4 linked regions of the Astyanax mexicanus genome follow. The protein of the gene in region 1 binds, or shares a complex with, the protein of each later gene. Links are inferred from orthologs where the notes say so. Each region holds a gene or a part of one and is shown in the gene's direction. Other genes may lie near its edges. The genes, in order: gpkow, rnf113a, snrpd3l and snip1.

Region 1 (7,129 bases):
CCATTACCAGACCACTGCATTCACAAGTATTGTATGTGAGATATAGCTAGTAAACTGATGAATAACCGCTTCGATACACAGAGGGCATTATTACAATTACAATATTGGTGTTGGATCAGTGACCTGGTAGTACATTAAATATACAGCTCTAGATAAAATCAAGAGACCACTTCAGTTTCTGAATTAGTTTCTCTGAAACTAATATAGGTATATGGTTGACTAAAATGAACATTGTTGTTTTATTCTATAAACTGTGGACAACATTTTTCCCAAATAAAATGATTGTCAAGTAAAGCATGTATTTGCAGAAAATAAGAAATGGCTGAAATGATAAAAAAGATGCAGAGCTTTCAGACCTTAAATAATGCAAAGATAACAAGTTAATGTTTACAAAGTTTTTATAGTCCAGAAATCAATATTTGGTGGAATAACCTTTTCTTTTTAATCACAAGTTTTTATATATCTTGGCATGTTCTCCTCCACCAGTCTTACACACTGCTTTTGGATAACTTTATGCCACACCTGGTGCAAAAATGTAAGTTTGTACTGACTAGAGAGGAATGATACAACACAACAGAATGTCCAGTTTAGCTTGGTTTGATGGCTTGTGATCCATCCATCTTTCTCTTGATTATATTCCGGAGGTCTTCAATTTGGTAAAATGAGAGAAACTCAGAATTTTTACGTGGTCTCTTATTTTCTTCCAGAGCTGTGTATCGCTTTAGCATCAACATGTGTACATGCTCAATACTCACATCACAGGATGTCAGGACGATCTGAACATAAAGCTTGTTTAATACACAAGGACATGCTGCTCTGTTTTCCATGATATCAGAGGTAGAGGTAGATTATATCTGCCTAGTAGTATTCATTTTACTCCACTCTTCGGTACGCAGAGATAATTATTACAATTACAACATTGGTGTTGGATCAATGAACTGGTAGTGCCTAAACTAGACAAACTAAATCTAGTTGTTTTTAATACAGCTTATAACTTAGCTGTGAAGGTTGTAATTAATGTAAAATTTATTTTCATTTGAATACCTGTGTCCAGTAATAGCACAAATAACTATAATTCGATAAAACATGAGCTAATAACTATAATAACTTGTTAGCATAATTCGGTGTATTTGAGTCACTTTATTCTGAGAGAAAAGTGTAGAAAGTTGTAATTTTGCCGTTTAGATCATATATCTTAACTAACCTAGCTACCACTACCATCTACCACTCTCACACACACACATTCACTTTCTCTCTCTCTCTCCCTCTCACACACAGACACACACACACACACACCCTCACGTAGTACCAGTATTTAAATTAAAACTCACCTGCATGGCCTCTGGCACACACACATTCTCCTCAGGCAGCTCAGCCGTTGAAAAAGAGCCCGTTTAAACGCGTCTATATACATCGACCCCGAACTAGACTTGACCCCTAAGCGGTCAAAAAGGGGGAAAATCGGGTTTGTGTCGAAGAAAACGCCTAAAAATCACGAGAAGTCTTCGCTACAAAAGGCTGGTCAGCGGCGGTCTGCTGGAAACGACCGTGGATAACTTTTAACCGCCATAGAAGTGAGCGGTCGGTCGCTCGCTCGCGCTGCGTGTCAGTGAGAGAGTGAGTGCGCGCGAGCGAGCGCGTGCGGAGAGCGAGATGCGCGAGGGACGCTGGCCAGCTGAGCACGAGACCGTCAGAGTGATCTGACAGCAGAAAAAAAGCGTTTAAACGCTCCAGACTCTCCGACAAACAGAAAGAGAGAGAGAGAGAGAGAGAGAGAGAGAGAGAGAGAGAGAGAGGGGCAGGGTGGCAGTGGTGGGCAGCGATACACGCTATCAGAAACACTCGAAGATAAATCCTATACTGAGCTTTAAACACAGCAGCAGCCCGCCGGTACCCTCCTGTCCTCAACCACATCTTCATCGACCGACTTTCGCACTCTTTCACACTGTCAGACACACACACACACTGTCACACACATTGTTACACTGTCACTGACCCCCGTCCGGCTCAGCCTTCAGTCTTACCTTCAGGTCTTGCTCCCTCCTCAGCATGCTGTCAGTCTGTCCCCCGGGGCTGAAACTGGCCTTATTTAACTCTCCACTCTCACCGCTCCGTCTCCTCTGAGGACACGGGACGCTTACATGATCCTCCCGGCGCCCGAGGACGCAGCTCGGTTAGCTGTAGCCTGAAGCGGCGAGGTGTTGAGGCTGTGAAACTCGGGAAACCGTGTCGGGGACGTCCGAAGGGTCTCACAGCTCCGGTGTAGCCGCGGCATGCTGCGACCCTCCCGGTGTTCAATACAAAAAAAGAAAAGGCTGAGCTCACAGTCGCATAGTGGAATATCCCTCAGGACCCAAAACAGTAGTCAGGATCAAGAAGCGATACCGGTAGAGGCAGAGAGCAGAGGGGTGGAGGGGAGGGAAAAGAAGTAATAAGGTAGAAGATCCGCCCCTATAGTGTAACAACGCGTCAGGTACTTTAGCAGTTTCATTGAAATTGCTGAGCTGCACAGAAACAAAGCTGTAAATACAAGGCAAATGTATGAAAGTGAAAAAAACGCGGTGAGCGTAAAGCATATCAGCAATGCTCTCTTGGCTTAAGGCAAAAGTGGACAATTTGGCCAAACCAAACACCTGAATCAGGATCAGCAGGTTTCAGGTGTTCCCGAGTCACACAGTATGGGCTCTGAATCACTCTCTGATTCACTCTGTTTTCTGTCACGTATGATCTTAAATTTATGAATCCTCAGCACCTGTATTTGTTTCTACACAAATCTACCTATACATAAATCAGAGAATATTTATGCATATATACATCATTCTGCCTTACTCAGAAACAGATCACACTCACATTTACTGTTTACTGTTATTGACAAGCATTAATACAACACAACAATACACTAATTAATCGTAATAAATAACGATTTAGATCTTGCATCTCATAGTTTATAAAACGTGCCTTAGAATGCATGTTTTAGTGTTTTAAAGTGTTTTAAGCATTACTCAAGATTTAAGCTCAAGTCTCCCGGAAGTTGCGGGAGTCTACCACATATCAATAACGGCTCCCTGATGCCTGCAAGTCAGATAAAATCTCCCGGTATTTAGAACTAGTGGCCCAAGAGTGAACACAAATGTGCACACGGGCCCCCAATCATGTGTATGAAGCAACTAAATTACATTGTTTGGAATGGGGCTGTCGGGCTAAGTTTAGGTTTTAGCCTAGCAAACTTACAATTTTGTGTTTTTACTCTTTTACACCTCTCTTAATGTCCCTTCCCCGCCACAGTGTGGAAGATGGCTGTGTCAGAAAACTAACCATCAAAATAATAAAAATGAGAAATTATTAACTGTGTTGTAATCCTGGACTAAACACTATTGTATGTCAATTTTGAGTGTGAGGAAATGTTAAGGGTTTGGGAATTGTGCAGATATTTTGTTTGATGTTCATTTCTAAGAATCATGGTGTGTAACAAACCTTTAATATTTAACTATGGCAAAATACAGTTTTCTGTTCTGTGGCACCTTTAAGCTCAGTCAATGTTGTAACTGTTTGTTTCCTGTGTTATTGCCATTTATCATATTAATTTAGCATTTCTTCAGTTGAATGTCAAACAAAAACTCAGTTGGTCTATTTATCATAAAAAGCAAAAATGTCCAAAATGAACATACTTGGATTTCTTTGGTGTTTTTCTTCTCTTTATAATATTGGGCTTTAGTATTATTTGACTACATGTTCCTAAAGCAAATTTAAATACTGCCATTTGGAAAAGATATCCAACATTTAATGTTTAACAAATGTAGGCATTTTAAAATGTCAACAGCGACTGTCACACACATCTATATTTTTGCTATATTTAAATGTATAATTCGTCTGTATTATTATGTATTCTATATGTATCGGGGTTAGGCACGGGACATACATTGTATTTTGGGATTTGTTTCTTTTTCTTTTAAACTTTAGTTCAACTTTGAAATAAAAGAGAAAATGTCCTGGATTTTTTTATTTTAGGTGGCTGGAATGGCCTTCCATGGTTTTCAGTCTTTTTAATTCCCACAATTGTTTTTTTTCCCACGCATCAGAACGACATACTAAACTAAAACTACATTTCCCAGCATCACTTGCGCGCACACCCACACATCAAACATGGCTTCGCCGGAGAGGCAACGAGAAGCGGAGGCTAATGCGGTCCCTGTAAATATAGAGAGCGGAGAAAGGAAAGCGGGCCCTATTTCTTTTGGGTTTAGTAAAACTCTCACTAAGATTAAGTCTGAGAAGCCCGTGGAGAGAGATTATGTGGTGGAGGTGGATGGAAAGGAGCTGAAAGGGTAGGTTAATGCTATAAGCTAACTGGTTAATGCTAACTGACTGGAGCATATAGTGCCGGTTAGCCAGGTGCTAATAACTCCAGCTCTGCTGATTCTGATGCTAATACTCAGCTAAACGGGTTTACCAAACATAGTAAAGCCGACTTAACTGGTGCGTCTTACAAAAAAAACGTTCAGCTTTTTTGTAGATTGCTGTCGTTTAGACCAGAGTTTCCTAGACCAGGTAATGGAGGACCCCCATACATGCACGTTTCGGTGTTTACCTTGTTTCCAAAGTATCTAATCCAGCTAGGTACTAAAGTCAGTTACCAAGGTGTTCATCATTTAAAGATTGTTAGTCCTTAAAACCACTAGCTAACCTGCTGGGCAGAAGGTCTTCCTAAACCAGGGTTGGAAACCTCCAGTAACCTACATTTTAACCTACATTATTTTGTGTGACTTTTTTTGTGTGATTTAACCTACAGTGCTTTGTGTGAAGTTTGTAGATGTTACTAAATGTTTGATATAAAATCTTGTGTAGAACGACGCCAGTGGAGAAACCATCAGAGTTGATTATTCCACTTATCCAGAAGAACCGCTGGTACCGAGAAGAAGGAGGAGGAAAAAAGAATGACAAAGGACCCAACAAAGACATCTCTGCATCTGAGAACCAGGACTCTGTGGAGTCTCAGGCTGTCAAAGAGCTTATTGAAGGTGTGTTTATGCTCTTGTTAGTTTGTTTTCTTTGCTATTTTATGCATTGGAGTTGTAACCATACTAGTGCATCTAAAACAAAATAGAATATCATTAAAAAGGTACTTTTATTTTAGTAAACTCTTCTAATATATATATGTTTAAGCATTTATTTCATTTGTTGTTGATGATTATGGCTTACAGCCAATGAAGACCCAAAAATCAATATCTCAGAAAATTAGAATATTATATAAGACCAATTGGTACTTTTGGCAGTGTGGGCAGTATACCAAGTCCTGCTGTAAAATGTCAGCAGAGGGAAGCATAAAGACTTTCTAGGAAAACACTGCACTGACTTTGGACTTAATATAACAGTAGACCCACACCAGCAGATGACATCCATAACTGATTGTGGAAACGTCCCGCTAGACCTCCAGCAGATTGGACTGTGTGTCTCTCCGCTCTTCCTCCAGACTTTGGTCTCTTGATTTCCAAATTAAATGTAAAATTTACTGATGGTCAAAGATGGTTTGGAGAGCCATGTCATCTGCAGTGTAAAAATCGTAAAAAGAAAGAAAACACATTGAGGAAAAATGACGTATGACCAAATGTTTGACTCTTACTCTATGTTAACAAAATCAAACAGCATCATATCAGCACTGACCCACACATTCCTGTAATTTTTTTTCGTCCCACAGAGTCTCAGAAGCAACAGGAGAGGTGGAAAAATGGCACTCAGATTGACCCAAACCTCACAATCCCTCTGCTCATGCAGAATCAGGTCCCTGAGGGCTTTGAGGACGGCGATCAAATCAAAGTGGATCTCAGACCTGAGTCGGTGAGTCGGGAGTGGCGGAAAGTAGTTAATAAAAACTGGACTAATTGTCTAAATCATTTAAACCTGCTCACAGGGGGCTCGGTTTGTCACATCTCGTCAAGCTATTGTCATAGAAGAATAAGGTGCTGCCACAAGGATTTGAATTCGGGTCGAATACCAGATCTTACTGCTTGCCATCAGCAGCCACTGTCCAAGAAAGCACAATTGACCTTGCTCTCTCTGGGTTGGTATATGGCTCTCCCTTACATTACCCTTAATCTGGTGTTGGTAGGTAGCTGTTGGATCAGAGCTGGATCGTTGAACTTTCCTCAGAGCTTGCTGGATAGCCAGTGATGCTTTGGATGTGTTGGAGGAGGCATTTGCAAGTCTATGCTTTTTAGTGTTGGGGGCATTGCTAGTGACGGGAGGAGTTACATGTACAGGGATTGGATAATTGGCTATCTAAATTGATGAGAAAAATGGGCTAAATTTTTTAAATAAATTACAGTATTTTTCACACTATAAGGTACAGCAGATTATAAGGCACACTGTATTATAAGGCATATTTTAAGATACAATATAAGGAACCTATAGGGTAGCTTACTAAGGTAAGTAAAGCTAAACTAAGTAAACAACACTATTTAAATATAAAAAGTCAAATTTCAATCTAAAAACTGTTTATTTGGCTGAGTAAATCGCTTTCAACAGTTAGCTTAGCTTCCCAAAATTTCTCCAGGACTAAGGCTGGAGCATTAGCATTAGCGGCTATAACAGCAGTGCTAGCTGGGGTTAGTAGCAGGGTACAGGCCTTTAAACGGGGAAATAGCGGGAAGCAGCTAATGCTACTGCTACTTCAGTCCAGATGCTGGACTGAAACTAAAACTAAACTAAAACTTCTGAATAATACTGCAATACGGCGGAGTGGCTTTACTGCTCCTTACAACCTTAAAATCTACACACAAGGTGCACTGGATTAAAAGGAGCACTGACGATTTCTGGGAAAATTAAAGGATTTTAAGTGCGCCTTATAGTTCACAAAATGCGGTATAAAAAATAATAATTAACTTCACTGTAACAGTTTCTGAATTAGCATTCATTATTTTATAAAAAAAAAACATAGCATTAATGGTTAACAGAAGTATTTGGGTCAGTGTGTAATGCAGGAATCAGCTAAACTAGACCTTGGCTAGTTTTTGTGTCTGCTTTTATGTAAAAAAAAATCTGGCTGAGTAAGAGCAGTATGATGGACTGCATTTAGGAAATCTTGGCCCAGTGGTTCTCGTTCGTGGAGGACCACACATTTCCCTGCTCTAAA
Region 2 (7,082 bases), on another chromosome or scaffold:
TTAAGATAATGCCAGAAAACACAGACAATGTGTCTCACTAGTCCTTGTTAAGCTTTTTTTCTATCATATAAAAACATCACAATATTCTCACCTTTCTCTCCAACCTCTCCTCGCGCGTTTCGGCTCTTGTGGGTGGCGGTGCATCTCTAGGGTCCTGATTGAAAGGAAGGATAAAGATTAAAAACGCAACACAAGATTAAAATAAAATTAATTAATGACCTGTACAAAACCATTACAGTTGATTTACAACTTATCACAGAGGAATCTCTCTAGTTGATGAGGAGCTAAGGTTTTTAAAAATAGGTAAAAAGATTTATATGTTAAGATCCTAATAAATATTAATAATACGGCAATACCTCTAATGACTAGTGGTTTTGTATATAGTAAATGGAGCTAAATGCTAAACCTTCAAATTAAAAATAATAATTTACTACTTGTTCTGAGTACTTCTTTAATTTCAGTAAAAGCAAAGAAAGCTTGCCTATATATTTTAGTTTATCTACAGAAAAAAAGCTTTTACACTGCAAAAGCACTAGCATTACTGGTACTGTGAGCTGATTGGTTGGCAAGCTGAGCCTCGATATACAGGTAGTGCACATTTAAAAGGCTTAAAATTTATGTCTGCTGTACTGAAACATTTGATTAATAGATCCGTGTTGAAGACAGTTATAAAAAAAATAAAAATAAATAAATAAAAAAAGAAATTTTTAAAGTCTGATTTTGCTCAGTTGCTTAATATGAACATATTCATGTTCGACACATTGCAAGTGTGTTTTCTCCTCTATGGAGATTCTCTGGCATGGCATCGCTAGTTCTCATGTGTGTTTAGTCCGGGTGCGCACGAAAGGAAACGTGTTTCTGGAAAGCAGCCAGGTAAGTCTGTGATTTCCCACAGCAAAAAAATTTGCTGTTTGAGATCCGGTGTAGACATTCAGTTGTGTAGTGTCTCAACAACAAGTCGTGTAGTGTGAATAACGCAGGGATGTGTTTTGGACCAATGGTTTTCTCTTTCTCCATGATTTCATTGCCAGTATGTAGCCGCTGCTCCTGACTCCCAGTCGCAGACTGGGTCAGATATCTAGCATGCCAAATACTTGCTGTGAGTCTAATTCATGTTACACAACTGTGCAAGTGCTGAGAGATCCCTGATTTGGCTCTGAGCAGACTTTTTGTCAGCAGTCAACAAAAAACTGTTGGTGACTGAAAAACTGGACTAAAACAGGGTAGTGTGAACCTGGCATAAGTGTTCACACTACATAAAGTTACCTACAAGTGTACTTACATAACATTAAGTACCTACAAGTGTGGCATAACATGCAATTTTACTAATTCATACCTCGAAGTGCTTGATGAAGGGAGCGATCCCAGAGTACGGCTGGTTGTGGTGTTTTTCATGGGGCAGCTTCTCCAACTGTGGCAGAAACGGAATGGGGTCCCGCGGGGCAAACAAGGCCAGCAGGTTTGGGGGCAGAAACTGAGTCATTGTTCACCTAAACAGAGCAGAGAAATGGCCATTTAACAATATTACACAATATTACGATTAAATGTCATTACATTGTAGATTAGGCCAGCAAGGAATTCACAAAGAAACTAAAAACGTCAAACTCTAAAGAACAGGGTCTGAGACCCACTGCTTGATAAAGGTATGGGCCACAAAGAGACTACAGAGACCAGACAAGTAAAATCAACACTATCAGAGAAGTAAACAACCCAATTCCTGTGAGGTAAAAGTATCAATTCAGAACCCAGTTTGGCTCATTAGACACACACAACATTAAGATAGTAAATTAGCGCTAGCCAGCTAGCTTAGCATTACAAAACTCAATACAAGCAAGCTAAGCTAGCTAACACAACACATTTAATCTACATGGATAAATTTAAATTATTTACTCAATTAATTAAGATAAATTAATCCACCAATACAAACCTACATTTAGTGTAAATCCATAAAGAGTACCAAACTGACGCTGAAACCTATATATGTTAGCTAAATAACCTATGTGTGTGGTAGCTAGCGTAGCGCATAGGGCTTGGTTGTGCTAGCTAGCAGCTAGCCATGTTTAAATAAGCGAGCAAAAGGTGCGCCCTCGACCAAGGTCCCTTACTAGTCTGCACTTAGCTAACGCTAACTCGGTTCCAACTAATACTCTTTTTAACTTAAACTAGCAAACATACACTTTATAAGCCACATCATGAAGACCACACGCACCTACTCCGCTTAACTAAAACAAAATATAATTAAATAAAAAAAATTCTAGCCAAACGTGCCCACTCCCAAAGCTTTCTAGAATTTAGTTCACAAGAGCGCGTATTGGAGCACAGCCCGCTTTCTCCGAGGCCTCGTGTCGGACATTAAATTACCTCAGCTCCGCATCCAATCCGCGCAGAATCTCCGAGCTCCGCAAAATAACGACTTCAGCAGCTCCCACAGAGCCTCCCAGTGTAGACTGTTACTGTAACACCAGTCTGTACTGGTCGCTTTCACTAGTTTCGTTACTGCTCAGTTCTCCAGCTCCTCTCCGCGCTGCGCGCTCTCTCAAAATGGCGCCACGCCGTAAATCGCTACAATTCATGAAGGGGCATTGTTTACGACAGTAGTTCACAGTTGGCGGCATTACTTGGCAACGTCAGAAGGTATCAGTGTGTCCCAATTCAGGGGATGCACCCTTCAGAGGCCGTATTGGAAGAATCCTGCCCCTAAATTGGCACACGATGTTTCTGTATTTATTTTTTCAGTGAGACGTATTTTATCTTTATTATGTGTTCAGTACCTTAAATTGTATATGTTGTAATTGCATGTGCGGCATGTCTTGTATTTTTATTTATAAAACAATTACATAAACTGTTTATTTGTACATATGTATGTATTGTATCATTAAATTATAAAATATAAAAAATAAGAGACCATTTAAAAATGAAGAGTTTCTTTGATTTTACCTAATTAACAACCCCTGGATTATAATCAAGAGAAAGATGAATGATCACAAGCCATCAAACCAAGCCAAACAACTATAATTTTTGCACCAGGCATAGCATAAAGTTATCCAAAAGCAGTGTGTAAGACAGGTGGAGGAGAACATGCCAAGATGCATGAAAACTGTGATTAAATAACTACGGTTATTCCACCAAATATTGATTTCTGAACTCTTAAAACTTTTTGAGTATGAACTTGTTTGCTTTGCATTAGTTGAGGTCTGAAAGTTCTGCATCTTTTTTGTTATTTCAGCCATTTCTCATTTTCTGCAAATAAATGCTCTTAATGACAATATTTGTATTTGGAATTTGGGAGAAATATCCATAGTTTATAGTATAAAACAACATTTTATTTAAACATTCACATATAAATAGTAAAATCAGAGACACATATTGAGAAACTGAAGTGGTCTCTTATTTTTTTTCTTGCTTTCTTAACGATTTTTATATTTTTATACTATATTATCTTATCTTCCTGACCTCCACTCATGCGATGGCACTTCTTCTTCATCCTGCTCCTCCTCCTCCTCCTCCTGTCTAGCAGCTGCCAGCCTAGAAGCCAGGCTCTATCTAGTCAACCCTTAAAAAATTTATGGTATTTAAAATAGCAGTTTCCATGCCTGGATAGGTTTTGGAAAACTAGAAATACCCAGAAAGGTTTGGTAAAATTAAAATTTGCAGGCTACATATGTGTGTTTTCATTTATCGACTGAGAAAAGCTATTTTGAGCTAACAAATATATCAGCTCAGAGTTAGTTCTGTATAATAGCCTTACACAATGAAGCTCTCAGGATCTGACACACATTTTATTATTATTATCATAAATTGTGTGAACATTACTTTTTTTTTATTTATAGTTTTAGTTGATTTTTGATTGTATTGTCCGCACTGATGTTTTAAAGATTGTATAGACATGACAATTTGCCTTGGAGACATGAAAAAGTCCTGAAAATGTATTGGTTAAAAAGTGTATAAACCTGGATAAAGTTACAGTAGGTATAGCGCTGCCACAGGCCTGAAACTGCTGCTGTGAATCCGCTGTCGTATATCCGTGCAGTTCCTCTCCAGGCGGCGAGAGGCGCTGTGTTAAAGCTGTAGCTGCTCTTCTGTCTCTGAGTGTAGTTTATTTTCATTAGTTAAAGATGGCGGAATCCGAGGAGACTAAAGCGACCTGCACGTTTTTGTTCAAAAAATCCAGTAAGAAGTTTTCAGCTCGGAAGAGAAAAGCCAGCGACAGCGACAAAGGTAAACTTTATTAGGCGGTTTTTACTATTTTAGTGAGTGTAGAGGGGTTAAATCTGTTATAATACAAGTAATAAATGCTGAGGAGGAGGCGAAGATTGAGTATTTCATATGTAACGTTATGTGTTCTGTTCCTCCGCGGACAGCGCAGCCTAAAGACTGTAAATTATTATGAATATATCTTTATATTGTGTTTATTTATCTGTAAAGTCCGGACGGGTAACTTAGAGCTAGAACAGAACCACCGCTCTGTTTAAGGTGGAATGAGAGATAGAATTAAGACGCAGCTCCATATTTATATCCTCGGTTTTAGTCAGTGTTTGGTCTGAATATAGAGTTTACTCCAGAGAATCAGGCTCAGTAACTCTGCTCCCTGTGTCAGACAGAAGCAGTGATGAGGAGAAGAACGCCGTGGTCAGAAGAGAGAAGAAACCCGTCTCTGCGAACCCCATGTTCCAGAGGGTGAGTGCACTAATCCAGGTCTTTATGGAATACAACGTTGCCAGGTCCAACACAAATATCCAGCCTAAATCAGTCTAAAACCCGCCCTTCAAAAGCTTAAACTAGCCCAAAATATATGTTTGAAGCAAATGGCAAAACAACCGTGAGGTTACGACTTAGTATTTTTTTTATTTAAGGGATTTATTATCAGTATTGCTGTTTATCTTAAAGTAATTAATAATATTGTGACATTAGTGTTTTATTAGTTCCTTTATAACAGTTCTGTATCCCAGTTAGGAACATTTAATAGTAACATAAGTAGCAAAAAAAATTACTTACTCATATCTGTTCCTGCCCCTCCTGAACTCTCTTCTCTCCTATTTTAACGTTTTCTTCATTACCTGGTGATTTCTGGTTACATTGTTAACACCTCTAAATGCGTTATTTTTTGTGCCTGGTTCTGTAACATTGGCCTCTATGAATCTGTGCCCAACTCAGCACAAAGTTCCAATAAAATGGCTCTTAGGAACCTAACTCGGCTCATTAACCAGAAACCAGAATCATCATTCACCAAAAAATAATAAAATCTTCATCAAAACAGGTTGTCGCATATTTGTCTAGGGCTAGGTCTTTGGGTAATGCCAAAAATTTCATAACGACAGACAGTGCATTTTTCATTTACATATCTGCCTTAGATATAACAGCATATCTAATGTTTTAACAATACAGTGTGTGTTAGTAATTTATTTTGTTAATTAGTGTGTTTTCTATTTGCTTTATTATTTTTGTGACTCTGCTTTGCAAGTCCTGTCTATATTTTATGGTTTTAGTTCATTAACCAACCAAAATCCCTGTTTCAGACAAAGAAGGTGGAGCGGGAAGCCGTCTCATCAAGTGAAAGTGAAGAAGACAAAGAAGCCAAAAAGATCACAGTGGCTTATAAATCCACCCGCTCAGCGGTAAGAAAACCTGCCCCAAGAATCAGTATTATGTTTAATTGCTCTTTTTTGTGTTCAAAGGAACAATCAGTAATAAATGGAAACGAGTGTGTGAAATTGGGGTGGGCGATATGGCTCTAAAATAATATCATGATATTTCAGAGTATTTTTACGATAACGATATACTTGGCGATATAGGAAAACTAAAATAATTCATTCATTTCAGGAATATAGTATAATAGTATAACAGAATAATCATAATGTGGCAAAATAAATTATATAGCATAAAATAATATGATGCTGCAAATATTATTGCAGAATATTTAGAGCATGCATATAAACTGCAAACTAAAACAATTATACAATAAATACACCTTAAGCTTCACAGTAAATAATAGACTTCTTTTAAGACAGAACAGCCCTATTATCACGATATGTATTTTTAATATCATGATATTTCTGTGTCAGGATATATTGTATACGATATAATATTGCCCACCCCTAGTGTGAAATAGCTTCAGGAGTTCAATTTTCAAACATTGGAGAGAGTTTTCTGCCCCACCCTCTCTTTCCCAAATGTTGAGCTCGCGCGGGTTGCAAGAACAATTGTCGACGAGTCTCACTGTTTAGCTAATCAGCACATGTATACATTTGTTTCATTGTTCTAAATGCCCATCTATACTACTCTAGTGGTGGTGGTAAATATGCTTAGCAACCTTACTAGAACTCAGTTCAGCCAAAAAAGTAACCAGCCTGTCCATTTCCATTTCACAACCCTGAGTGTGGAAAAGGGAGTGGGGGAATGGAAGTGGGTAGATTTTAATGCAAACTCCCACATAGATTTCCATGAGGTACCAAATAATTAAAATATAATTACAGCCTTATGCTCTGCTCTCAAGAGCTGCCAGTGCTGTCAGAGTTACTATGGAAAATCTAATCCTTAATGCTTTTTTTAAAATGGTATGTTATTCATATTATTGTTTTATTATATTCTAATGCATTCAACCTGCGTTTTTACATGAGCAGTTATTATGATGATGATTTCTTCTTCTTCTTCTTCTTCTTCCTTTTTAATTCTGTTTAAACTTTGCTGATGGGCTGATTTTTATATGTGAAACAGAAACCTGAAGGGCCAGAGGACATGGGGGCAACAGCTGTGTATGCACTGGACACAGAAAAAGACAAAGACGCTCAGGCCATCTTTGAGCGCAGCCAGAAAATTCAGGAGGTGAGGAACAAATCTGTCAGTGATAACTGAATTTGTAGTTAATTTCACAAAAAATTCTCTTCATCTGTTATGCTCCTGTGCATGATATGTATGCTATTGTAAATCAGTTTATAGAGTTTATAGAGCTGGGCGATATGGGGAAAAGGTATTGATTGTACCATGATATTTAAAGATTTTTTAAAGATATGCAGCTCTGGAAATAAGAGACCACTTAAAAATGATGAGTTGAAAAAAATTGAAATTGAAAACCTCTGGAATAT
Region 3 (7,686 bases), on another chromosome or scaffold:
TATGAAGAAAAACACATGGAGTTTTTAAGTAAACAAACCAGATAATGTTTTATACTTTAGATTCTTTAAAGTAGCACCTCTTGCTAAGATGTTAGTTTTGCACAATTTGGCATTTTCAGTCAGAGGTAGAGTTGGTATACAGTGAATAGAATTTGAGTAATGTTCTAAGAAGTAAAGGTCAGTCAATCCAAAACATTGAAAGTATCCTCAAGTGCAGTCACAAAGACTTTTCAGACTGCTCTAGGAACGGAAAAGCAAGAGTTAGGTTATCAGAGTTACTAAGTTACCAGCAAGTTAACACAAGGTATACCTTGTGTTAACTTGCTGGTAACTTAGTAACTCTGATAAGCACAGTGTGTGTGTGCGTGCGCGCGTGCGTGCATGTATAACATTGAAACATTAAAAACTTTATACAGGAATGTTAAAATTTCAACACTAACTGATAAATATTAGGAATGAATATAATGTTAAATAAATATTTGATGTTATTTTACTCTGCAGATGCCAAGTGTTCCCATTTACTTTTATCACAAGGTTTTTCCTGCATTAAATAGATTAATTAAACCTCTCAGTATTGATATTGGTAAAGGAATCAGCATCGGTATTAATCTACTCTAAACCCTAAAAAAATAAGACCCATGGTATTGATATTCTCTTAAAGCAGTGTTTCAGTATTTGAATGTAAACAGTTCAGCAGCGCCCTCTGCTGCTCATACAGCAGAAGTGTTATCAGCACCAGACAGTGACTGCACGGGCCGCTAGAGGGAGCCCAATAATAGAGAGTCCAATAATAATGGGAGTAAACGGAGCTAAACGGTCAAAACTTAAATTAAAATATTGAATATTTATCTGGCCGGGTTATTCATTTCATTTTAAACTACACTGATGTATAGCAAATAAAACATACCTATATATTTCAGTTTTTCTTCAGTGCCATGAGCTGAGTTGGTTTAATAAATCCGAAATCGCATACTTAAACTGTAGAGTTCTGGACTGTTTCGGGGTGAGGACGCACTTCTCGCCCGGTAAAGCAGAACGCTCTTTTCAGTACACGACTACGCAGCTGCTGCTGTTGTTGTTATAAAAGGGTAAAATGCAGACCTTAATTAATATATATTAATGTGAAAAATACTACCATTTACATATAAAGTAGGTCAGGTAGGTTCATATTTAATCGTTTATAATTTCCTCTTATATAAGTAATACACAGTATTCAGTGCTTATGACTTATTTAGAGTTTGTACATATATATACAGTACAGTGGCGTGAAAAAGTATTTGCCCCTTACACCCTTTCTTTTTATTAAGGAAAAAAGAACTATCCAAACCAGTCTGGCCCTATGTGAAAAAGTGTTTGCCCCCCATTAATGAACTGCAATTAATCACACTTTTTGGAAAGCTGTATCATTTAAATACTAACCACAACCAGGCCTGATTACTGCCAGACCTGTAGAAACAAGAAATCAATTAAATAGAACCCGTCTAACAACATTAACCAGATAAAATATCTAAAAAATTATACATATACAGTCATACATATATCACATAATGTCCCAATCTGAAGAAACTCAAAAACAGATGAGAAAACAAAGTCATTGATCACCTATCAGTCTGGAAAAGGTTATAAAGTCATTTCCAAAGCTTTGGGAGAAAAAATGGAACACTAGTGAACCTTTCCAGGAGAAACAAACTGACCAAAATTATTCCAAAAGGGCATGGCCAACTTATCCAGGAAGTCACAAAAGAACATTACTACACCCTTCTCAAAAATCAGGAGATGGGGCACGCAGTCACGTGGGGGCAGAAGACATTTTAAAAAGTTTTATTGTTCAGTACCGCTGTAAGAAAGACTCTGGCATTGAATCTTAGCCCCGCCCCCTTCACGTGCAGTTTGGTCTAGTTCTACTGCTGTTTAGTTTTACTCTGTTGCTCCAGGCAAATTACCACTTCAGGTTGGCTAGATCACAGCCTCAAGAGAATAGCATGTGAGGAGTTGTGTGCGTGTATTCCAACCAAACCACACACCATTGAGACTCTTGCACATGTAATTGAAGTGTGAAGTTTAATAAAGAAACGAAAAGGAGACAACTGCTTCATGGTGTTCTAACCGACACCCCCCATACAACACTCATCCCATCATCAGAACCCACACATACAGTCCTTTAGTGGTCCTCACCAACAACCGCTTTTAGTCAGATAAGAGTCCTGTAGCAACTGAAAAACAAAGACTAATGCTTTGAATTAGTTGCTGTTTTTTATTTTAGTTAATTTATAAAAGAAATTCTTACACCTACAATAGCTATGATATATATTTTATGATTAAATTATGTAATTATTTGCATGAATTTATTGTCACCTCTTCTCTGAAGGGTTAGAAGCGCCTCACTGCACACCATTGAAAAATTGTCTTTAGGCCAATTCTGGTGCATTTACAGTAATGTAAATTAATGTAAACTGTCCCTGTTAAATAAACTATTTAAAAAATGGTATACGTTTTTACTGTTTTCTAAAGCCTTCTGAATTTTCTTTAAAAACACTACATAACTATTACACTGAGATCTACTTTTCTTTCCATATATTATATTATGTTGCGAAATGCACTAAACAATTAAAGCTGTGTAAATGAGCATGATGTTGAATTTATTTCCAAGAACAAAGAACAGAAAAGCTGGTCTGCAAATAAAAAAACAAAGTTCTAAAGGTTATGTGTGATTCATCTTCAGTGTCTAAAAAATGTACTTTTCTGTGTCTGAAGAACAGACTTTTGAATAATGCACAGTTTAATCCCATTATTCATTTAGTGCTACACAATACATCTGTAACATGCCAGTATGGTTTGTGAATACTTAAATTTTTTTTTATCTCAATTTAATAACACTCATGTCATCTCTGTTTCACTCATAAACTATTTTTTTAAACACCAGAAGTAAGCAAACAGCGCAATCATCGCGAGATCCGCTATTGTTCACGTTGGTCGCAGGTGGAGACTGTCCGACCTGACTTCTCTATGGTGGCTCTGAGGTGCAAAACAAATAAACATTTCAGAAAAGTAAATTACAAAATTACAAATTTACATACGAAAAATAATTACATTCAAGAATACTAAATTACCAAAGAAAAAAATATTTTACATGGGCAAAAAAAAAAAAACATTACATTTCAGAAAAACAAATTTCCAAAAATTGAAACAAATTTTCAAGACGCAAAACACTTTTACCAGAACTGAAACACTTTTACAAACTGTGATTTCTGACTAAAAGGGAGGGTCTAACACACAGGTAGTCAGGGGCTGATCTAGCCATTTTAGGGCCCTAGGCAAAATAAAAACAAGGGGCCCTCATTCTTGAAACATACACACATAAACCAAATAACTAGAGATGAAACGATCGATCGGCAGTGTATCGGTATCAGACAATTTTCAGCCAAAATACGGTATCGGCGATCGGCTTAAGCAGTTTATCAGAGCTGTGTGTGGATGAAACTGGTGAAACCGGTGAAACTGCTCGCTTACAGGAAGCTGCAGTTCCTTTACACACAAGTTATATCTCTCCTAAAAAGCGTTTATTTTGGTCAGTCACACTTGTGTTTATTTACTAGCAGCGTAAATTACCAGTGTTTGCTTTAGGCGTGGATGTAATTAGGGGAATCTGTACCAGGTTTGCCAGGCACCTGTGTGTCATTAATGTGGCATTTGGCCCCGCCCAAAATCGGTATCGACGATCGGCCCATCGTGGTAAAAGACGATCAGCGATCGGAATCGGCCCCAAAAACACTGATCGGTCCAGGAGGTGTAAAAAAAAAGGTCAGTTTTGGCAGTGCATCTTTGATTCTTTTGCTCTCTGCCCGTTTCTTTCGTTTAGCAGAACCACTTTCATAACTCCGCTTCATTTTCACTGTGACAGCCCTCACTCTAGTCGCGTACAGTTCCCGCTGTTTTGGTTTGAAGTCACGTTGTGTGGCACATTGCTACGTCATCATATTATGGACTAGTTCAATGCAAGCAAGGGAGGGGGGTATGTGTGTTTGGACAATTATTATTTAGACATTAATTCGGTATTCTACTGATATTTTTAATATAAATATTTTGTTCTTTTCTTTACATAAGTAACAACTTAACATTGTTTTTGTGTATTTACTGTTGCTGGGATGGTCAGATTTGGGGGCCACTATGGAGGACAGATTTGATCTACGCCCTAGGCAAATGCCTAGGTTTGCCTAATTAAAGAACCGCCTCTGCAGGTAGTGCTTGTTGCGGACCCTCCGAGAGAGAGTCGAGTTATGGACAAAACAAATTATATATATATATATAATGTTTTTTGGCATGCATTTTAGGAGCAGCAGTAATTGTCTTTGTTGCTACTGCCCAGCGGGGTTCAGCTGCTGTACTGTCCTGTCCTGTCCGCGGGGCAGTGGCTGAGCATCATGTGGGGTGTTTCCGTCAGGAAATCGCAGTTTATAAAAGTGTTTCAGTGCTGGTAAAAGTGTTTCGTGTCTTCTTCACGAAACGCCCACCCCCCAGGTGGTGCAGGTGCAGCCGTACCTCAAACAAGCCTAACGAGAAACTGATTTATAGGACCCCATTCATTTGGACGGTATCTGAAACGTCTCCTGGTGGTTAACAAACCTCCTCCCTGACCACACGCCCACGGTCGTTCTTAACTACCATTCATTCCCACAATGCAGTGCTGAAGTGCCCGGATGTGAGGCGGTGTATTTGAGGTGCATTGTGGGAGCGGGAGAACGCTGCTCGGACGCGCACGCTGCTTTAGAGCGGGTACAAAGACTTCCTCAGCGCAAAGACTCCGGTACAGAAATATCCTTTATATCATTGTTTTACCCGGTTTAATCCTGTTACTCTGTATCTGTGGGTAAAGCCGAGTTTATACAGGCTTTATTAACTGTAAATGTGCAGCAGAGAATCGCTGATTTATTGCTCTTTCTGTACTGTTAGCCTGTTAGCTTTAGCTACTGAAGCTAAACTCTAAGCCTAAAACAGGAAAATTTATATCTACATCTAAACCACCTTTGTATTCCCTACACCCTTAAACATACCTCTACTTCGGGCTTTATCGGCTGTAGTTATTGGATAGTATTGTCTGTTTCCGGGAGAATATATGCTGTATAGTTAGAGGTGTGTTTAGCTCAGATGCTAAATATAATACTCAGCTCTCCCCAGATACAGACAAACTTTACCAACATCTGTTAACTGCTCTAATTATACCACTACTAAATAACTATAATCAAACGGTATTAATTATGATAATGACTTACAATAATCTTTCAGATTGACTAAATCTTCCCTTAACATGTAAGATAAAGAGTAGAAATGCACCGATGTGTGAGTTCTGTGCTAATGACGATTTCCAATATTACAAACCTAACTTAAACATGCCGATGTCGATATACACATTTATAACGTAAAGACTACACATCCCTGTATAAATTTAAAAGCGAGCTTATACCCGTATGTTTTAGCTTTTAACCAACAATAAAATGAAAGGTGCAGATGACTCTTAAACAACAAAAAAAAACATTTATTTACTTATACCGACAAAAACCTCGCCTGGTGTGACCCGCAGCATATCGTACAGAGTATAAAATCGTACTTTTTATTCATAATTTATACAAAACAATCTTGGTAATTTAGTTTTTTACTAAATCCAGTAGTTTTTAATTTTAATAATTGGTCAGATTGTTTATGCTTCTGCTGAATGTCTGAACCCTTTTATATTTACATGAAATAAAACATTTGCAGTTGTCTGTTCTTGAAAATAATAAAATAAGGTTTAGTATTTCAGTGTTATAATGTATTTGTACAAAAGAAAATCCCTGAAATATTGGTATCTCCTATCCCTAGCCCAAACCATGTATTTGCTAGAAAATTCCAGTTCTTAAAACTAGAGTTCATTTTATGATCAATGAAAGCTTTATTAAATAGGTATGCACATATTAAATGTAATGGTTGTGGATTAATGGTTTCCTGAATCTGTAGTTGAGTGAAAGTTAAAGCTTGAGTAAATGGTTCAACCAGTTGTTGGTGATAAAGGTTGATGTCTGTTGTACAGAAGTGCATCACTGCTCTTCTCTGGAAAGGGTGTAATATTTGGCTTAGTTTGATTTTTTTTTTGGCATTGCTAAATGCCATTCTGTAAGTTTATTATTATTTTTTTTATAATTGTGGGCCAGTAATGTATTTGTGCTGTCTTTGTTGGTTTATTGTCTGATGGAATGGAGCTAACATGGCTGAAAAATACTTCATCAAATATGTTTAAAACTGTTTTCTTAACTCCACTAAAAGCTAAAGATGCAAACTTAAGATTCTAGACATATTGTATGTAGTGCTGAGTGTTTATGGCCTAAAAAAAGATTTTTTTCACACAAAAAAAAGATTTTTGATTTATGTTTGATTATTTCTCCCTACTAAAATCAAACTACAGATGGCAAAGAAATGGTTCAAAACTAGGTTTACATGTAAAGAAAAAAATAGTTTAAGAAATATATGCGTGCGTTTTGTAAATTGCCTTAAAACTAATTGGAATTAACTGAATTAATCAGGAAAAATCGCACAGCGCTAACTACGTTGTGCTGAGCTGGACTAAATTGTTTCGCAAATTCTCTCTTTTGATCTGTTACTGAAGTCCTTCCTGTGGTGACCCCCTTTCTTTTTACTGCAGATATCTGAACAATGTCGATCGGTGTACCAATCAAAGTGCTTCATGAAGCGGAGGGTCACATTGTGACCTGTGAAACCAATACTGGTGAGGTGTACAGGGGGAAACTGATAGAAGCTGAAGATAATATGAACTGCCAGGTAATGTCTGCACTGTTTGTCATGTAGTTATTTTGTTTCCAATTGAAAAGTTTTGTTTTGTTTGTGTTTTGGGTAAACTTATTGCTTGTAACCAAGTTTCAGCTGTCCCATCTGTTATGCCCAAGTTGCCAGCCCCACCTCCACTCTTGACAATGTAAATAAACTTCTTTACTAGGAGTGGAACAAAAGATTGGTATTAGTGTTTTATAGTTTGCATACATAATACATTGATACATGGCATCAAATATGGATATTTTCTATTGAAACAAGGGTCCTCTATACTCCCTAAGACTTCCTTTAGATCTGTGAAACTAACACCCATAAACACATTCCTGGTATTTGCTTATTTAGGAGTATTTAATCCTCTTCAGTTACACAGATGTTGAGAATTCTTTTGCAGTATATAGTGTTGCAGAATCACAGTATCATAATGCAACGTGAGATGCCCTGTACTTTCCACACTGTAGGTGTATCTGAGCAAGTGGACCTATAATACAGTTGTTTAAACTGGCAACTTGTGTATGTAGTTGTAGGGGTAACTGCATTGCACAGTTTTCTGTTCTTCCTGTCTTTCTTTTTCTGTGTATTAATTAAAATAATGTTTGCATTAATGAATACTAATGCCTTTGGATTTTAGATGTCGAATATTACTGTGACGTACCGAGATGGCAGAGTGTCGCAGCTGGAGCAGGTCTACATTCGCGGCAGCAAAATCCGCTTCCTCATCCTACCGGATATGTTGAAAAACGCTCCAATGTTAAAGAGCATGAAAAATAAGAATCAAGGAGCAGGGGCTGGGAGAGGCAAGGCAGCTATTCTTAAAGCACAAGGTATGGCACTGCATAATCGTAGTTGATTGTATACAGTTTTCTGATA
Region 4 (7,133 bases), on another chromosome or scaffold:
CTGATGATTTTCCTTTTTGGGGGGTGATGATTTCTTCCAGATGGGCCTAAAAAAATAAAAAATAAAAAAAAATTAGTGCTTATACAAAGTATTCACCTCCATGTTTTTCCCCTCTTTTGCTAGTATACACAAGTATAATGTATATATTGTCAATATAAATGTTAGTTTATACAATACAAGATAGTCGGTTAAATAAAACCATATACTGTAAAATAAGTGACTGTATAAATACTGACCCCTTTAAAACTACTGTACCTAATTTAACAGAGGTGCAATCAGTAGATGTTATTAATTTTAGAATTGGTGGAATGGAGATGACTTGAATGCAGTGAACGTTTAAACTAATATATATATACCTGTTTGTAAAGTCCAGTCACTTATAAATTAGTATTCCTGGCTACAAATATAACATCAAGACAAAATAACATTTCGTAGAAAAAAGGTTAACAAGTGAGGACTCGGGAGATGGATACAAATTACATCATTAAACAACCCTTAAACTTCGGTTAAATTTGTCATCATAAAACGTAACGAGTATGGCAAGTAAGAGACTACTTTTACATTCTATTCACATTGCTTTTTCATTTAATTTACATCACTGTGTGGAAATTACTTTTCCCTTTGACTATGTGTTTTCCTCATTTAAGTAAGAATAAAAATGAAAACCATCCAAAGGAGTGAATACTTTTAGGAACTGTACATTTCAGTGTCATACTAAGACAGCATAAGAAGCTGACTGATTGTCATGGATGTACCTTTAGTTGCTGGTTGGTGCGCTTGAGAAGCTGGACCTGTGCCGTGTGCTGTTTCTCTTCAACCTGTCGCCGCTCAGCTTCTTGCCTCTCGATTTCTTCACATTTAGCCTTCTGCTCATTTACCTGCCTTTCCAGATCCTTATTCTTGTTCTCTAAGTCTGCAATCTTAAAGTACAGCTCAGTTACGATTTTGTTTACAGATAAGATATACATAGTACATAGTCTCAGACTAAGGCATTTCAAATAAAATAAAAAATATATGAGAAAGGCAGACTGATGTACTTACTCTCTGCTTGCCTGAAGGCTCTTGCTCAGCCTGTAGGGCCTTCTTTATGCCAAAGGTCATACCGCTAGCATGCAGGGTCTGATAGACTGTGTTGGTCATACGTATCTCATCTCGCACTCGTAGAAGTAGCAACCCCCTCTCAGGACAGTTGATGCTAATCTGCCTGATTAACTCATCTAAAGGACAAATAATATGTTTTTAAATGAGCTGTGTGTTTACATGTCTTGCTATTGTGTATTTCACAAGATTGTGAACCTATGGCCCTAAAGTGATTAAAGAAAAACATTGAATAATATAGATCATAAATCATTCCTCACTTTCTGCTAGTAAAGTACAATGCCACAAGCAAAGCAATGCTTTCAAAAAAGTGGCCAATTGTAGGGTAAATGAAATTGTCTACATTTCATTCATTAAGATACAGTAAGTTATGATTGGAAGCAGATGTCTTAAGTGTTTAAAGCTTCTAAAAATTCACCACAAAAACTACATAAGATGGTTGTGAATAAGTTGTCTGAGCGAGGCCTGATAGTTGGTGCCAAATGGATGGGAAACTCCATTTTTAAAGTTATGCGCCCATATAGCATTCATTTGATCCAAAGTATCACTAGTGAAGAAATATCAGACAGAATTACTAGCCAATTCTAGCCAGATGCCTCCAGTCACTATCATTACCACCTTCAATGAACAGCGCAGTGCTTGGTAATGATTGTGATTGGCAGCATCTGGCTAGAATTGCCTTAATGAACAGATAAGCATCCATATCCATATTAAATGCATTAGACCCCATATGTATATACTGCACCTCAGAGCAGCGTTCTTTAGTATCCATGGGGCATGGAAAAAGACACAATACAAACCCTATGTCCCATGACATCTGGCATGCCAGTATACAGTGCTATCAGTGTCTAGTAACACGTGTACTGTATTAAAAATTCCTCTGGCTGCTGTTTTGTAAACTCACCAAAGCACTGTGAGTAGAGCTCACTGCGCACTGGGCAGATGCCTTTTTCTCTGGCCTGTCTCTGCTGCAGTTTCAGCTCCAGCTGCTCCTGCAGGTGAACCACATCCATCCGTGTGGCAGGAGTGCTGGACACCTGCTGAATCCAGCGCGTGTTGTTCTCTTTCCATTCCCTGCAATATCGGTGCTTATAACCGTTAAACATGAACACATTATGAAGAGCTGTTTTAGAAATAGAGCAGAAGAGGAAAGACATATCTTACCTTGGTGGCAGAATTGCATTGAGTATCTCTTCAGTTTCTGCAGGGGGAGACTTGGGTTTAGGTGGAGGCGGGACGGGCCCAGATAAAACCAGCTGCTGTGGACTCACTTTCAAAGGTCTAGCCTAGATTCGTTGTTTGTTTGATAGAAAAAAATATATAAATGGGATAGTTTATGTACTTACAGGCTCAAGCATGGGTTCAGTAAATATTTATATATTTTTAAATTGTCTTTTCCCACTTCCATTGAATGTTACTGTCATTCTATTAGATCACCACTTAAATAGCTACAACAGTGACAAATTATGTTTATCCATACAATTACATTAACCATCACAGAAATATTAGAAGAAATATTAATAACGTACATGAACATACTGGATCTAACATTATTTAAACCCTTCCAACAAAATCTAAATATTAGCTACTAAGTTAAGAATCAGTTAAAGTTATATTCTTTGCTATTGTTATTGTGAGCTGCCTCATAAAAAAAATGTAACTTTTAAGTCTATATATACACATATTTCAGTTTGTAGCATAAAAAAAGAAAATATAACTTCATAACCTAAATCATTATCATGAACATCATTCCATTTTTTTTACCGAATCACAAAAATATTAAATGCTCTAGAAATTATTTTACTACAGAACAGAATGAGCTCATCGACTCAAACGTAAAATTCAATGAATGAGTATAACTTTAACTAAATTATATAACAAAAAAATAAATTCATATATAAGTATTTGTTAATGTGTTAATATATATGTAGAAGTTAGTATTAGTAAAAGAATACCATTCTGCTGTAAATAAAAATCAGCAAAATGGGGTGTAAGTTACAGTTTTAGATAAAATGTATAGGTTATATAAGTCGTTTTTCAACAAAAGTCAAGACCTCCAATTTGTTACTTCGTTACTTAACTCAAAGGTTTCTTACAGCTTACCCTAGGTGATTTGTTGTCTGTGGTCGGTGTGATCAGCGCCGGAGTATCATACTTCAGCAGAGAGTCGGGGGGAGGTTCCATTTTTACAAAGTGAATTTTAAGTAAAAAAAAAAAGTTTCAGTAACGTTTCAGCTCAGAGGAAATTGAGTATGAGAACTGTTTACATTTACTATGGCAACCCTGGAGACCGTGTGAGAAAAAAAACAACAACCGGTGTTACAGCAAAATCCGGTACCTAGAGGGAGCTGTTTCCTGATATGTTTTTCAAATGAGAGTGCCTCACTCAGCTGTTAGTAAAAACTGTCCCAACATCAAATTCTTCGTTCATTTACAGCTTATGTTAAAACTAACACATGAATGGCTGGAGTGCACATAAGGGTTCGCTCTGACAACGCAGTTTAGACACTTTTGACAGATTTTACTAAAAATCCTTACAACATTTCATAGGCCTTGAATGGTTAGGGTTCTAAATCTACACTCACACCGATAATAAGTGAAAGGTGTACTTTTCTACACTGCAACAGCACAGTACAGGCTATACGAATATATTACAAACAAAGAAATACGTATTTAATGTAAGTAAAGTTGAATACAAACCATACGTATAAAACCATAACGCTGAATCAATTATGATTCAATGGAAAATCGATGTGCACAAATAATTGCATATTTTTGAGGAGATTATTTATGATTATTAAATTTGGCCAAAATTATTATTTATTAAAAAGAAGATTTACACATGTGGGTGGAAATGTATTATTATTTATATGTATTATTTTAATATCTGCCTTAAATCTACAGATACTGCGCAGATTTGAAACAACTGTAGCGGCAGGAGGGTGGTGTTTTGTTTGTGAACTGGATCAGCGTCTCCACCAGGTGGCGATGAAAGTTTCCACAGGGCGGAACTGAATTTCGGTTCCCGCAGGCAGGCCGGGCTGGTTTGTTGAGCGGACAGGGAGCAGATCTGGCAGCAGTGGAAGTTTGTGGTGAGGCATGTAGCTTTAATAAGCGCGGATTCTCAGTTTTAGCTCTATAAAGAGAACAGAGAACAGTCTGTGTTCGGGATGGACTCCAGGAAAAGAGACCGGCACTCCCCTGCGCGCGACGGGAAGATCAGAATTAAAGAGGAGAAAGTTAGTCCCGCTAGGCCGCGGATCGCGCGCCGCTCCAGCTCACAGTCCAGCGGCGCGAGCAGCAGCAGCCCCCCGAGGAGACACGACCACCGGTCAGCCACACTCTATTCTACTATACTCGCTTTCTGCTTAACACACACTGTCTGCCTCTCTCTCTCTGTTAATCTATCTGGTAGTAGTAATTACTAGAAGCAGCAGTAGTAGTAGAAGTAATAGCAATAGTGGTAGAAGCTGTAGTTGTAGAAGTAGCAGTAGTAGCTGAAGCTAATGATAGTAGCTTGTAGTAATAATACTAATTAAACTAGTAATAATAATAGCAATATTTTAGTGTCACTAGAAGGAGTGTTGGAAATTCGGTTAACGTAGTAGTGATAAACACAATAGTCTAATGAGAAAAAGAAAAAGAAGCAGGTTATGTGGACAGAATAAACAAACCTGTGTAACTTATAGCATGGTTTGGTAATATGGCCGTAAAATAATATCATGATATTTCGGGGTATTTTTGTGATAATTATATTGGTGGTTTGACAAGATATGTAATTTAAAAACATTTCAAGTATAAACTACTGCAATAAATGAATATTACAGTTTATATGGGGATACTTTTGTATACAATATGATATGTAGCACCTGTAACTTCAGATTGTAACAGATGTCAATGATCCAACATATCATGCTACTAATAATGCACTCCTTATATCTAGGATTGTCCAGAAGTAAAATAAATTATGATGGACAGATATAATCTCCTGGTCTCTTCTTGCTAAGTATGTTGTTCAATATCTCAACAATCTAATTATTGCCACACATTTTGTTTTCTTTAAACAGAGGAAAAGACAGATCTCCGGGAAGAAAGGACAGATCATCAGGACAGCAGCGGGACAGGGAAAGGGACAGGTCCCCCCGAGGCCAGCGAAGTCGCAGTCCATACCGCAGTTCTGATGTTCGGATAAAGCGGGTGATTCAAACTGCAAGATAGAATGATCATAATTCATTTGGTATTGGACTGGGTGGTATGACCTCACAGTATAGATCATGAGTTTTGTTTGTATATATATAGCATTTAATGGTCCCACCACACAAAGCAGCCCTAAAACATGCAACCAAATCTGTATCAAAACAATGTACTATTTGCAACTTGTTTTCCAGGTTTATTTCCAGCCTTTCATGCAAATAATAATAATATTTATTTAGATCATGGGTTTGCTAATTGCAGAAACACAATTTAACCCATTTTTTTTTGTTTTTCTAATTATGCTTTAGGGAGTAGATAAGTGATGCTGATTTTTTTATACATACTAAGCATAATCTGTGTTTTCTCCTTCAGGAAAAAGATGATCATCGTGAAAGAGGAAATAGGCCTGATGAACGTCGGGGTAGGAGGGAGGAAGAGCGTCAAAGAGGGCCGGAGCGACGGAGAGAGAGGTCTCGTGAACGGGAAGCACGTCTGCAACAGCAAGCAGAAAGGGAACAAAACAATGAGCGTCGCAGAGAAAACCGTCTCCGGCAGGAGGCAGAGGGCGGAAATGAGATGCATGAGTTTGATGGCACAGAGGGAGATGATGTGTCTGGACCTGCTGTTGAGAAAGAGAAGCCCAACTTTGAACTCTCAGGTGCTTTGGTGGAAGACACCAACACATTTCGAGGAGTTGTTATTAAGTACAACGAGCCACCGGAGGCCCGAATCCCAAAGAGGAGATGGCGACTGTACCCTTTTAAGAATGATGAGCCACTTCCAGTCATGTACATCCACAGACAGAGTGCATATCTCCTTGGAAGACAAAGAAAGATTGCCGACATACCTATTGATCACCCCTCCTGTTCAAAACAGCATGCTGTGTTTCAGTACAGGTAAGGATGCTTTAAAGAAATAGGTGTATGTGCCTGTTCATTTTACTGTACTGGCATTGGCAGCCTTTTTTCTTTCTTTCTACCTTTTTGAGAAATTGGAGGCACCGCATTGACTAAAACACACGTCAATATTTAAAAAATCCGGTTAAGTCACCCCATTTGTCCAAACTTTTCTTTTTAACTGACCAATAAACTGAAAAAAAAAACATTACTTAAATTGGATTGTGATTTTTATTTTTTAAGACAATGTAAATAAAACACTTTTATGGCAGATTCGTTAATTATTTTTTTTTTAACTAATGTCTCACCTGCATCCCCCCTGCAATTCCATGTGATAAGAAAAGGCTATTTGAAAAGACAAAAACTTTGAGAAATAATGAAAAAAAAAAATTGATAAGCTCAACTTGTTTTGTTATGGCTTTTGTAGCCTGGAGTCCCATACAGTATAATTTTTCAAAAGTAGCGTGTAAATCCTCATGAATTTGTGATATGATTTATTAATGTAATACCTGTTGTTTGTTATCTCCAGGTTGGTGGAGCACAAACGAGCTGATGGTACCACAGGCAGGAGAGTAAAGCCGTACATTATTGACCTTGGTTCAGGCAATGGAACATACCTGAACAACCAGCGTATTGAATCACAGCGGTACTACGAGCTCAAGGAGAAAGATGTGCTGAAATTTGGATTCAGCAGCCGCGAGTATGTGCTCCTGCATGAATTCTCAGACACCGCTGAAGTTGATTCCAAACAGGAGCTTGATGAGGAGGATGAAGGGCTTGATGAGTAGTCACCACTCAAAGTTCACCAAAGTACTTTTGTTGTGTGGGACTCTTTAAAGGAGCCCTGAATCAATGATCAAGATCGCTGTGATTGACCCAGAATTTAATGGGTTGTTCTTTTATTAATGATTTTGACATTACTATTATGTTGTGGACAAGGTCTGT

The links.
Region 2: gpkow (region 1) and rnf113a share a complex: the UniProt entries of both Homo sapiens proteins name them as parts of the minor spliceosome. The link is inferred for Astyanax mexicanus from reciprocal best matches to the Homo sapiens genes GPKOW and RNF113A.
Region 3: gpkow (region 1) and snrpd3l share a complex: the UniProt entries of both Homo sapiens proteins name them as parts of the minor spliceosome. The link is inferred for Astyanax mexicanus from reciprocal best matches to the Homo sapiens genes GPKOW and SNRPD3.
Region 4: gpkow (region 1) and snip1 share a complex: the UniProt entries of both Homo sapiens proteins name them as parts of the minor spliceosome. The link is inferred for Astyanax mexicanus from reciprocal best matches to the Homo sapiens genes GPKOW and SNIP1.

The regions. Positions count from the first base shown.
Region 1 is NC_064419.1:20,705,914-20,713,042, forward strand, and holds the start of gpkow (G-patch domain and KOW motifs-containing protein), read left to right. Parts: upstream 1-4,115; 5' UTR 4,116-4,143; coding exon 4,144-4,325; intron 4,326-4,845; coding exon 4,846-5,018; intron 5,019-5,695; coding exon 5,696-5,835; intron 5,836-7,129. Other genes in the region: membrane-associated guanylate kinase, WW and PDZ domain-containing protein 3, read right to left, coding at 1,332-1,414. UniProt on the Homo sapiens protein: RNA-binding protein involved in pre-mRNA splicing. As a component of the minor spliceosome, involved in the splicing of U12-type introns in pre-mRNAs.
Region 2 is NC_064426.1:20,936,914-20,943,995, forward strand, and holds the start of rnf113a (E3 ubiquitin-protein ligase RNF113A), read left to right. Parts: upstream 1-4,080; 5' UTR 4,081-4,115; coding exon 4,116-4,218; intron 4,219-4,597; coding exon 4,598-4,677; intron 4,678-5,516; coding exon 5,517-5,615; intron 5,616-6,714; coding exon 6,715-6,822; intron 6,823-7,082. Other genes in the region: snrnp70 (U1 small nuclear ribonucleoprotein 70 kDa), read right to left, coding at 92-154, 1,337-1,483. UniProt on the Homo sapiens protein: Required for pre-mRNA splicing as component of the spliceosome. As a component of the minor spliceosome, involved in the splicing of U12-type introns in pre-mRNAs. E3 ubiquitin-protein ligase that catalyzes the transfer of ubiquitin onto target proteins.
Region 3 is NC_064424.1:38,883,389-38,891,074, forward strand, and holds the start of snrpd3l (small nuclear ribonucleoprotein D3 polypeptide, like), read left to right. Parts: upstream 1-4,682; 5' UTR 4,683-4,804; intron 4,805-6,673; 5' UTR 6,674-6,684; coding exon 6,685-6,810; intron 6,811-7,447; coding exon 7,448-7,640; intron 7,641-7,686. UniProt on the Homo sapiens protein: Plays a role in pre-mRNA splicing as a core component of the spliceosomal U1, U2, U4 and U5 small nuclear ribonucleoproteins (snRNPs), the building blocks of the spliceosome.
Region 4 is NC_064413.1:32,223,591-32,230,723, forward strand, and holds the start of snip1 (smad nuclear-interacting protein 1), read left to right. Parts: upstream 1-4,122; 5' UTR 4,123-4,268; coding exon 4,269-4,429; intron 4,430-5,165; coding exon 5,166-5,295; intron 5,296-5,664; coding exon 5,665-6,188; intron 6,189-6,717; coding exon 6,718-6,976; 3' UTR 6,977-7,133. Other genes in the region: dnali1 (axonemal dynein light intermediate polypeptide 1), read right to left, coding at 1-46, 756-920, 1,042-1,217, 2,003-2,172, 2,263-2,384, 3,202-3,282. UniProt on the Homo sapiens protein: Required for pre-mRNA splicing as component of the spliceosome. As a component of the minor spliceosome, involved in the splicing of U12-type introns in pre-mRNAs. Down-regulates NF-kappa-B signaling by competing with RELA for CREBBP/EP300 binding.